2 linked regions of the Drosophila melanogaster genome follow. Changing the gene in region 1 together with any one later gene gives a genetic interaction. Each region holds a gene or a part of one and is shown on either strand. Other genes may lie near its edges. The genes, in order: sl and Pkc53E.

Region 1 (6,374 bases):
TCCACATCTTCTGGTAATTGTGCCTTTAATTTTATAATATAAATTGACTCGTTAATCGTGTCAATAAATGTCTTTATTTGCTTATTGGATTCTAAATTTAAATTTGGCATATCCATAAGCCTATTCATATGATCTGAGAATATGTTTCTTTTATTCTCATATCGCTTGGTCAAAAACTCCCAAGTGGCTTCATAATTTTCTCCAGAGCCGAGCAGTAAATGAGTAACCACATTTCTGGCTTCTCCTTTTAATGCTGACTTTAGATAATTAAATTTGAGAGAAGGACTGAGATCCTCTCTCACATGTATGAGCTCTGTAAAGAGTTCATTAAAAAGATCCCATTCTTTGGAATCACCAAAGAAGGTGGGAATCTGTATTTTAGGCAGGGTTGGTAACTCCTCCGCCTTAACAACCGTCGACATTTCAGCTTTATTTATTGTGCCACTGAGTCGACTATTAATGGCTGTAAGAATATTTTGTTTGTCAAATTCAAGTTCGCTAATTTCTTCTTCGAATAGCGAACTCTCAAAATGACTATTCACCTGTTCAATCAGGTTATCTATTTTATGCCATAAAAATTCAATTTTATTTTTCCTTATTTTAAGGAAATCTGGACTACTGTCTATTAGTTTAGACGTATCTTCTAGATATACTCGAAATTGGCCAACATTATTACGAAATGCCTGCTCTACTTTTAAAGCGTTGTTTTGTGCTATACCCTCTTTTTCAGGGTGACCACGTATTTCAAGGTTTAATGTAGGGGGAGGGTTTGATTTAGGGACAGTGTTTGATTTAGGGAAAGTGTTTTCTACCGACTCGCCCTTAATTTTTTCATTTTTATTTTTAATTTTTTCTAACACCATCATTATTAAATCATACTGCTTCGCGTTAAAATATTCATGATCGACAACGCCGATCTTTAACAAATTGCTATGATTAGCAATGAAACATTTTTGAAGCTCATTTAATTTTAGAATTTCTACATCTGTTAATGTTGGTTTTACTTCCAACTTTCTAATTTCCAAAATAATTTCGGACTGCTTCTTAAGGAATTGAATAGTCTTTTCTGACATCATTTTGAAAATTTTTTGTAATTTCTTAATATATATAGTACGTGTATATGTATTTTATATGTATTTATATATATATGTGTGTTTGGATAAACAGAAAATTCTTGTTTTGACTTAGCTGATGTCGTTGTTGTTGCTGCTGCTGTTGCTGCTGTTGTTGCTGCTGTTGCTACTGCTGTTGCTGCTTCTGCTGCTGCTGTTGTTGCTGCTTCTGCTGCTGGTAGAGGCTCCTTTGAATTTGACTTCCTTCTCTTCTTTAAGGCTCCGTCGATGTTTAAAGATGATTTTTTTTTTTTTTGCACGTTTTATTATTTTTGTAGTCCAGTCAGATTTTTTGTTTTTTAGCCATTTATTTCGGCATTTATGCTCTTTTGGCATATACACTGCACTCTATTTATGAGCTGATTTAATGCTATTAGAGCATTTATAAGGCACTGTTTTCAGGCACTTTTTATTTAATTTATGCTCTTATGGCATATACACTGCACTCTATTTATGAGCTGATTTAATGCTATTAGAGCATTTATAAGGCACTTTTGTTATGCACTTTTTAATTTCACAATTGCTGATGTATGGCCTCAAGCACGCCTTACCACAATTTATAATGGTACACAAAGCAACCTTTAGCTATAGACTATAAGGTGCTTGTTTTAAAACATAAAAGATTCTTTTGTATCTTTTGCTTTTTATATTTATACTCTGTTCCTTACCTTTGGTAGGGGGAAACAAGAGTCACTTATTTTTGCTACCTTTAGCTGTAAGATGCTTAAAGGAGCTGGCCTTTCTCTGAGTTCCTTACCTTTGGTAGGGGGAAACTGCAGAGTCGATTAAAGGCTCGATTGACCAAATGTAAAATCCCAAATAAGAAGACTTTACTCGTTGAGTTTTTGTAAGAAACTGATTTTATTTGGAAATATCTTCGGTTTAAATAGGTGACATGAGAATCGCATCTTAAAGTAAATGGCCTACGCAGAGGCCTAAGTAAATAGTCCCCGCCTTATCGAGGTCCCACGCTCGGGCACATCTGCCTATCTTGAGCGGCGAGGACCTTATCTGTGGTCTCCCACTAAGGGACTATTTTAGGAGGCGGGGAACGATCTCAAGTGACTGACTCATGTAGTGTGCACTTAAATTACATGTTTTTGAGCAATGCACCCATGTCGCCTTAGATAACAAAATCCTAAATATAATTTATCGCTCTCGATTCATTTACATAAGATATGAACGGAGCCCAAAATTGTAAGTCTTTAAATATATTCGTGTTCATGTGTGAACAGGTAGAAAAGCAGACAACAACAATCAGTCAATTGCCTAAGCTTATTAATTTGTAAATCTATTTTAAATACAATATCAAGAAAACTTATGTTCGTTTGGTTTCAAGTTAGTTAGTTAGGAATTCTTCAGGTCGGGATTTATTTTCCTATCTACATAAGGTGAGTTATAATAAAAGCTTTAAGCTTCTTCGATTTGGTTGGTATGCTTAGTTTTGCTTTATTCAAAACTAGGAATACTATTTACATAACGAATTTTTGAATCGCACTTCAAAACAAAAGATAAAACTGGTCACACTTTAATATTTCAGTTATTCAAGTATGTAAACAATGGAGCAATTTTTAAGCTAAACTTTTAAATAAAATAGTCAATTTATTTTTTTATTTCCTCACAATTCGAAATACACCGCAGTGTGAACGCCCCATTTGCGTGGATTTAGTATTTTCTGTACCCACATTACGGCCTGGCAACACTGGCACTTTCCTCAACAGCTGGCTTATCTTATCTGCTTCTGTGGTATTTTTTGGGTACAATTCGGATATTGCATTGTTAATCTCGGTTTATTGAGTCCCAGTGGCCGTGATTTGTGCATCGACCAGTTGGAAGAGAGGGAGCAGTTGATCTGCGAATAGTTCCACGCGCTGGCACCCATAGTTTGTATGCATTGCACTTAGTCTGGCGATCGGTTGGCGAGGCGAGAAACAACCTGTGGCAGCCAGCGGATGAGAACTGGATTCGATAGGAATCGACACGTTTGGACCGGACAGGATGAGCTGCTTTAGTGCGATGAGTGCCCCGCTGCTGGGCGAGATGGAGCAGACCATTGGTATGCTGGAGCGCGGCACCATCGTGACCAAGTTGTATGGGAAACAGCGTCGTCCGGATCGCCGCCACCTGATGCTCATACGAGAGACACGACAGCTGCTCTGGGCAACGGTGGCCACACAAACGCCACGCACCGACTACGAGGGCGCCATACAGCTGCGGGAGATTCGCGAGATACGGGTGGGCAAGCACTCGAAGGAGTTTCGCCTGTTTGCCGACGACTGTCAGCGCTTCGAGTCCAGCAAGTGCTTTGTCATACTGCACGGCAATCACTTCAAGCTGAAGAGCTTCTCGGTGGTGGCTCTGTCGGAGATCGAGGCCGACAATTGGGTGCGGGGATTGCGTTACATGGTTAAGGACACACTGGGAGCACCCTATCCCTTGCAAATTGATCGCTGGCTGCGTCGCGAGTACTATCAAATCGAGAATGTTAACACGCATTCCGCCAAGGCCACGGAACAGTCGCCAGCCCAGGTGACCATTAAGGACTTTAAGCTCTTTTTGGCCGGAGTTAGCTGTAAGATGACCACCGGCAAGTTCATGGAGCACTTTACCGAGGATGTGCGGCGCAAGCACGATCTCAAGTTTGATGATTTCTCGCGGCTATATCAGAAGTTGCTGCTGCCCAACGGATTTGCCAGCGTCTTGTCCGGATCGGGAGTGGCCAACTTTCCCTATTCGGAGGACCAACAGGTGGTGCGACCGGCGGAGCTGAAGCAGTTCCTCGAGACGGAACAGCGCGATGTGAGCGCCAGTGAGATCAGTAGCGCAGCCATTGCCTCCTTCATTCGGGACTTTGTTCAGGACGTGGAACGTGATGTTCAGGAGCCGTATCTCACCTTCCCGGAGTTCGTCGACTTTCTGTTCTCCAAGCAAAACGACCTGTGGAACAGCAAGTACGACCAAGTGTTCATGGACATGAACCTGCCGTTGTCCTCCTACTGGATCGCATCGTCGCACAATACCTACCTGACGGGCGATCAGTTCTCCAGTGAATCCTCCTGCGAGGCCTACGCCCGCGCTCTTCGCATGGGCTGCCGTTGCATCGAGTTGGATTGTTGGAACGGGCCCGACAATCTGCCCTACATATTTCACGGCCACACCATTACCTCCAAGATCAAGTTCATGGATGTCATCAAGACGATTAAGGATCATGCGTTCACCAGTTCCGAGTATCCGGTAATATTGTCCATAGAGCAGAATTGCTCCCTGGAACAGCAGCGGAATATGGCGCAGGCCTTGATCGAGGTAAGTTGACCTAATCGAATCTATTAATAACAACAATTTATATATTCCATGCAAACAGGAGATCTGCATGTTTGCTTTTTGATTCATTCGCTGTAATAATGAGTTCTTTTATGGCTTTCTGTGAGATTGCCTAACTTAATATATAATTGAAATGGATTTTGTATATTTCGATAGTTGGGAATATGTATGACAATATGAAGAATTCGCTTTTTATTCGTTTGAATCTAATTATAAATGTAACAGAGCAATATTTTTAGTTACTTAGATTTCAAGACGATGGTAATTAGATATTTCTTGATGCTTTAAGTATTAATCGCATAAAAATCCATTGACTTATACCTTTTATGACCCATTACAGGTTTTCGGGGATATGCTGCTTACGCAACCTTGTGATCGAAACGAGCAGCACTTGCCATCGCCATACCAGTTGCGTCGCAAGATAATCCTGAAGCACAAGAAGTTGCCGCAGTTTGACGACATCGCGAATGGGATTTCTAGCACGGGTTCACTGGGCCATAGATCATCGTTGGGCGGAGCGGGCGGTGGAGCGCATGGGGAGAACGATGGCGAGAATGTGCGCAAGGTGTTCAAGGAGGGACTGCTCTACTTCAAGGATCCGGTCGATAAGTCCTGGAATCTTTATCAGTTCGTTCTGACCCATCAGGAGCTAATCTACTCCTCTGAGATCAACGAGTCACGCAACGGAAACTCCGAGGATGATGACTTTGGGCTTTCTTCGTCGTGCTCCCTAAACAGCAATATGCAGCAAAAGCAAAAGGATACCTCGGCCAACGATGAGCTGCACTTCGGCGAGAATTGGTTCCATGGGAAACTTGAAGGTGCGTTTATTGGTTGACATATATGCAGTATATTCCATTTGTTTCGTTAACAATTTGCATTTTAGGTGGCAGAAAGGAGGCTGATGATCTACTAAAGAAGTACAAACACTTTGGCGATGGTACATTTTTGGTTCGGGAATCGGCCACGTTTGTGGGAGACTATAGCCTTTCGTTCTGGCGACGTAATCGCCCGAATCATTGCCGCATCAAGTTAAAGCATGAAAATGGATCGATCAAGTACTATCTAGTGGAGAATTTTGTATTCGATTCACTGTACTCACTGATCGTTTATTATCGCAAGAATATGCTGCGTAGCTCAGAGTTTTCGATTATACTGAAAGAGCCAGTTCCGCAGCCGAAAAAGCACGAGGATCAGGAGTGGTTCCATCCGAACACCACCAAGGAGCAGGCCGAACAGGGTCTATACCGGCTGGAAATTGGTTCGTTTCTAGTGCGGCCATCGGTGCAGAGCATTAACGCTTTTGTCATTTCGTTCACAATCAATCGAAAGATCAAGCACTGTCGCATTATGCAGGAGGGACGCTTGTACGGCATCGATACAATGAACTTCGAGTCTCTGGTCTCGCTGATCAACTATTATACCCGAAATCCACTCTATCGCAATGTTAAGCTCAGCCATCCGGTGTCGCAGGAGCTGCTGCGTCAGGCGCTAGCGGAGGCGGCACAGGGTGATCATAGTGGCGGTCACGATGACAACGGTGCCTCCAACTACATGGGCTCCAATCTGGAGGAGAATGTCACGTGCAAGGCGCTCTACAGCTATAAGGCGAACAAGCCAGACGAACTCTCTTTTCCCAAGCATGCCATCATAACGAATGTCCAGAGGGACAACTCGATGTGGTGGATTGGAGATTATGGTGGCATGATCAAGAAGCATCTGCCGGCAAACTACGTTAAGGTGAGATGCATATATAGATTTATTTGAAATTCAACTATATTCAACTCTTGAAAATTCCAATGTCTAGGTTATCGATTCAACTACCGAGGACTACAATTCGCTGAACGAAGAGGGCACGGATGGACGCACCGATTCCATTGAGATTTTCGGAGCTGTTGCCTCGCTCTTTGAGTCCAACGATCCGGGGATTATTTTCAAGCT
Region 2 (6,374 bases), on another chromosome or scaffold:
GCGACTGCGATCGCATTTGTGGGCCAGACAGACGCGAAATGTATCTGAGAGATACGAGTGCGCGGCCAGTCCAAAAGTTCGACTGAACGGGTCGCCGCCGGCAGCGATTTTTTTTTTCTGCAGCAAAAGGCAAGCGGCCATCGGCTTTTCGCTACCGATTGAAAAGTGCCGAAAAATATAACCAAAGCGGGAAACGAGAAAAATAAAAACGAATGTTAACTCTCAGTGGCAGTTTAATTGTTTGGACAACAGCTGGAATTTTCAAATATAAAATCGCAACGGAATCAATTGGTTCTTCCGCATTTGAATAAAGTGATATAGATAAATTTAAATGAGTTTAGGTGCACAGAGCGTGAAATATGTAAATGCTGCAGAAACAACAAAACAAGCAATTATTTTAATTAATATTTTCAAATAATAATCTAATATCCCTATGCTTACCAGGCGATTAGAAATAACAGTTGACCCAATATTATAATTTATTAATAAAAACAACAATAGCGTAATGAAATTTCAATTAAAATTCGTATACATTTGCATAACTTAAAATAAACAAATCGTTAATCACCATCAGTGGTGAAATGTGCGATAAGATTGGCTTTGTTACTTTGATTGTTGGCTTGATTGCCACAATTTGCGTCAATTATGCGTGAGTGACACGCCCATTGTGCCACTGCCCACGCTTTTAATTGAAATTTGTCTGTTTTTTGTCGTTTATGCCGCTTTTCCGTGTTTTCTGTGCGTGTGAAAAATGCTCAGTTTGTGCTGATAAAGAAAATTAAAGCTGCACAAAGCTCTCGAAAGCGGGAAAAGCCGCCCAACACAGGGAATAACAAAAGCGACGTCACAACATCGCCCAGAGGGCAAAAAATAAATAAATAAATAAAAATAAATCAGAAGAAAAAGGAGAGCAGCTGAGTGAAAGTATGGCATTCTGATTGGAAATTACCATTCAAACAACTCGAATCGATTTTAAGATGATTTCGCAGGTTTAAGTTTACAGCAGCCACCGCACATGAGACTCTTACAAAGTGTTCGGATGTGGGCTAAGTGCACTTGAAAAGATTTCCAGAAATTAGCAGAGTGTCGATATAATTTATTGACATCCAACTATGCTGGAATCGCACTCACAATTACCCTGTGATATTTTTTCATTTGTTGTAAGCAAAGTGTTTCCTATTCATATATACTTATAGATACTAAGTTTTGTCAGCATTTCCGGTCCGGCATAAGTTAAGCAAAGTGTCGAAAAGGTTTTTGAGTCAGGAATGAGATAAGCGCCGACTGTTGAATACCCTGTATAATACTAACCATTCCAACAAGCTTGTTTACAACTATCATACCCGAAATGCCGTATGTTTTTTAATATGGTTTCCCGCCGAGAAAACATTTCAATGGATTTTAATTGCCCCGCTTGCAATTGAAATTTATGACCCAGTGTTTTGTGATATCCAAAGCGAATTATTCATAAATTACTATCTACTTGGCCGAGTGCCGCCAACACTATCAGCTATAGTATCTACCGTATAATATATTTGGTGTTCTATCTATGCAACCGAATTCCGATGGCTTTCAACATGGCCATTTACATGTCGACTGGCAAATGGTTTTCGCAGCGATTGGCAATGTGATTTTACCACAATATTTTATCTCCAATTTTGGGCTAGCGTATATGTGCAGTGGTTATTTATTTGCCCGCCCAAATATTTGGTCTTTCTATTAGAGCCAAACCGCTCGACAAACCGAAAAGCGAAAATGTTGTGATAGTTTATGGTCTGTCCGTGTCTCTAAAGCAGATAAATAATTATTGCATTAGCTGCGCTCTCGATTCGATTCGTTTCGTAGCAACGCCCCAGCTTGATTTTAAGTCGGGCCGCGAAACGTGACACTTGGCTATCAGATGTGCCACCAAAGCCAAGTGGCTAAAGGCAGGGGCATGTGGCACGTAACAGGTAGTGGGTAACAGTTAACCGCGGCGAAGGTTGCGGTTAGGCAGATGTAAGCCAAGATCCGCCCCAGCGCGAATTAATATCCACTCCTCCAGTTTGGGGCATATATAAACGGGCTTGGGAGCATTGGAACAATAAGGTATTAAGTGGTAAATTAGGTCGATTAGTTACGAAGTGAGAAGTGACGAGATAAGAAACGAATCATCATGCTCAACCTTTTTTTTAGATTCCTACATCGAATTCCAAAGTTATTTTATGATAACGTCGATTTAGCAACATTAATAAAATAAAATATATAACCTTATAGCTTGATACCCGAACAAAATTTTAAAATTCCACATATAATTAAATAGTCCATAATTCCAGAGAATTTTCCATGTTTTTGATACAATAATTTTTTGCATTGAGTTGCCTTTTTTTAGGGCTTGGATAGTTATCTACTTTTTATGAGGCGCAACAGTATTTATAAGGCGCGTCAATCAGTGTTTCGCAATAATGTGATAAATGCGTCAAGGCAATTAAAGCTTAAAATGAAATTATTATGGTAAATGGAATATTTGTTATCTTATCAGAGTTTGCTTTAGACATATAAGCTTATGCAAAATATACATTGCTATTTTCATAAAGGCCTTTGTTTCATTTCATTAACATCTTGAGTTTTATATTAATCATTGAAGTCTTGAGATTCAATTTTATTCGCTAAAGTTGTTAGAAAGTTGAGAGCCATTCAAATTGATAAGTATATACTAATTTCCCTATCTCACAATCCGATCAGCCACGAGGGGGATTCCATTTATAGATCAAATCACTTCTTGTTCAACGCAATCGAATGGCTAGAGCAGCCTTTGCAAACTCGGCCCAAAACCGGCTGGATCGTGGCCATTTAACAAGTTTCGTTCAGTCGGATCAATTAGCGGCCAAGAGCGTCATCGGTGCTCCAGGGTCTGACGTTTCGGATCGCTATGGGTTTACTTATGTTAATCAGTTGGCCGCAATGCAAATGAGCGTTAACAGCGCTGTTGCTTTTGGCTAACAGTGCGCCCAAAAGCTCGCTACGAATATGGCGCTCCAGAAAAGACGGCCAGTGCCAGTTGGTCAGAACGTGTTTGTGTCTCGAGCGAAGCGCACGTGCCGGGAAAGCGATACAAATTCGCAGTGCCAGGAGGCCGAAGTGAAAAGCTGGGGATAAACTGCCCCTACATTTTCCAGCAATAACAACAACAACAGATGTGTGTGAGTGTTAGTGCGTGCGAGAAGAAATCTTGTGTAACCCGGAGAGCGAGAAAGAGGGAGACGGCAACAGATGGGAAATTCACCACAGTCCATGGACATGGATTTTCCGCTCGTGTGAAAATGCTCGCACGCTCACTACGTTTCGGTTCGCCAGCAAAGGCAGTTGCTCCTCGCATTTTCGCAGCCCGTGCGTGTAGTGTAGCCGTAGTCTAAATAAGACCAATCACACTAAGTCATCGGTCAAAAAGTAAACAAAATAAACGCCACATGTCGTTATGAACAAGTGCTTGAAACTAGACAAGTTACTACCAAATTCAAAGCACTATTAACCACAAGGAATTCTAATAATACCCCTCGGGATAATAACGAAAAAGCAGTCATAGCCATTATGGCCATTAAGCACAAAAAAGTGACATGAAAACGTGAAGGGAAATGTGTTCCACAAATGGAGAAGAAGAAAAAAACGCGCTAACGCAAGTCGTTCGGAAATGATAGTAACTGTTGCATTTCGCTCACAAAGACTATGATAGTTTTGCTAACACAGAGTTTCAGTCGAGTCCTGAATTGTCCTTTTTGTGGTTTAGTTTGCGGTTGCAATCAATGCTGAATATGTTGTATGCAGGGTAGCAATAGAGTTGTACTTACTGCTGATTAGATAATTAAATGTACATCTTGGATAGATGAAAATGTTCTTGCTTTAAAATGTTTCAATTAGTTCATTGATTGAGTTGAACCAATTATTTTGCAATTAGCCAACATTTCTTGATATAATTAAAGCTTAAATTGGGACTAAATTGACTAAGGATTTATTTATTTTAAAATTCTCAGAGTGTTATCATGTTATAGCTGAATTAAATCAAATTATTTGAGTGTTTGCATTAGTAAGCCACCGAGCCGACTGCTTATGTTTACAGGGTATGGCACCATCGTATCCCAAGTGGGCCCACCTGCACAGGTGAGAGCAGTGGCCAGCAAGAACGTGTCTGTTAGCGAAGCACACAAAAATTGGCGTTGCAAATATTTCAATAAAGCTGAAAAACAAAAGCAAAACATTGAAATAAAAATTATTTCGTTTGCACATCGCTTTTTTATTTGCACGCGCGCTCAATCTTCGTCACATTTTTTTCGATTTTTCATTTTTTCTGCGCCTCTCATTCAACAAGCTGGGAAAAATTATATTATTTGCCAGTTATTATTTGGCCCATGTTCCGCCGAAAAGGTGCCCCATTCACCTAACCACCCAAAACCCCTTCGGAAATTCTTTTGTATATTCAACCGTTGAGGCATTAAAATTAATGCTAATTATGAGCTTGTTTGTCGCGGATGACATGTGCTTGAGTTTTTGTTTAATTGCTGCACTTGTTATGAGAAAAATCAATTGAAATCGATGCGCCGGACGCGAGTGAAAAATAATTAAGCAAACGGCGAACGTGCGGCCAGTGATTAATAAAATTATGCAAATCGCCTTTTGGGCAAATTAAAGCGAAATTCTCAAGTCCAGTTTGGTTTTATTATTATTGCTCTCTCTCTCTTTCTCGCCCATTATTAACGTTAGATGGCATTTAATGTCTAATAAAAACACGCCGACAACAAAAACTGAAAATCAATAAACACAAAGCCAGCAAAAAGTACGTAACCAGCAACAACAACACCAACAACAACACCCAAATGCGGCAACAACAAGTGAGCAAGTTAAAGAACCTTTGCGATTTGTAAACGCTGCGAAATACCCGTTGTGCAGAAAAAAAAAACACCAACAAATAAACAAAAAAGCAACAAGAAGAAAAAAAAAGCAAAAAAAAGAACATTTAGCAACAATGTCGGAGGGCAGCGATAACAACGGGGATCCCCAGCAGCAGGGGGCGGAGGGGGAGGCGGTGGGCGAGAACAAAATGAAGTCCCGCCTCCGCAAAGGAGCCCTCAAGAAGAAGAACGTCTTCAATGTCAAGGATCACTGCTTCATCGCCCGGTTCTTCAAGCAGCCCACGTTCTGCTCCCACTGCAAGGACTTTATCTGGTGAGTGATTCGCATCCTTAAAGTGGCATCTTTATGCATCGTTCTTATAGAACCAACTGCATACACCCGGGGAAAAACTAGCTTACCTCTTGACTAACTAAATGGATTTATTACCAATATATCGGGATCGTGCAAGTTTTAAATGACCAAAGGGAATATTGATCCTATCATGACCTGACCTAATCTACTTGAGAAAAAGTACCAAGCTGGCTTAAGATATACATATATTTCGTTTGGGTAGGTCATAGTAAGGTCACTATTCGAATGAACCAATGATTTTCTCCGGGTGTACAAGCACATATAGAGAGAGAGCTATCCCCATATGCGAATACGCCCCACTTCCCTCCACGGCACTTGTGGGTCTACCAAGCATGGCCAGCAATGCGTCCACATAACATCAGTGGCGGGAATCGATAAATGTATATTGACAAGGCGAACGAGCCGTAGAAACAATGGGGGAATAAGGCAAATAATAGGAACACACAGCAGCAAATACCAAAAACACACAAGGAGGCAGCTCACAAAGCTCAATTTTCAAAAATGAATAACGTACTGAGACTTATTTAATCTGAGATTTTAGTTGTTTAGCACACATAGGCGTACAAATATGAAAGCAATCTGGCTTAAATGCAAGAAAAATAGTACTGTGTGTATGGTTTAACATTCATCATAAAATATTTAAAATGTTTACGTTTTTTAATTAAATGAAATACAGAAAGTCTTATTTGAGCATTTTAGCAAAATGTAAAAATACCTCCGAGAAAATCATTTGCAAAAAGTATGTAAACAAATAGAAGCTAATTGCTAGAAAATCAAAGAGGAACAGACTCATTTCGATTTCTATGAAAAGTCTATAAAAATGTTTTAAATAGGAAATTAAATAAAAATAACTAGAGTCTAACCTTAATATATGCAAAAAGCTTTAAACACACAAGTCAAGTTATTACGCTGAGATACTTTTTGGCCCAAAATTTCAGCCAAAATCTACAGAAGGCCAAGAAAAACAAAAGCCAACCTGTGTAATATTTAATGCAGGTGAGGCTGCCGAAATCGGTTTTAATCCATTGTTGGTCCCAAGGCAAACACAAACAGAAGGGCAAGGTAGAAATGAACTGAAATTGCGTGGAGCCAGCCTGTTTACTCCTGGAAGTCCTGGCAGCTGGGTCCCAGTAGTC

Evidence for each region.
Region 2: of sl (region 1) and Pkc53E, changing one enhances a phenotype caused by changing the other (phenotypic enhancement), as found in Drosophila melanogaster (one study listed by BioGRID).

Annotation. Positions count from the first base shown.
Region 1 is NC_004354.4:16,347,476-16,353,849, forward strand, and holds the start of sl (small wing), read left to right. Parts: upstream 1-2,839; 5' UTR 2,840-3,110; coding exon 3,111-4,415; intron 4,416-4,773; coding exon 4,774-5,254; intron 5,255-5,319; coding exon 5,320-6,173; intron 6,174-6,240; coding exon 6,241-6,374.
Region 2 is NT_033778.4:16,921,609-16,927,982, forward strand, and holds the start of Pkc53E (protein C kinase 53E), read left to right. Parts: upstream 1-3,316; 5' UTR 3,317-3,429; intron 3,430-3,518; exon of another isoform or gene 3,519-4,137; intron 4,138-4,737; 5' UTR 4,738-4,999; coding exon 5,000-5,199; intron 5,200-6,374. UniProt on the Drosophila melanogaster protein: PKC is activated by diacylglycerol which in turn phosphorylates a range of cellular proteins. PKC also serves as the receptor for phorbol esters, a class of tumor promoters.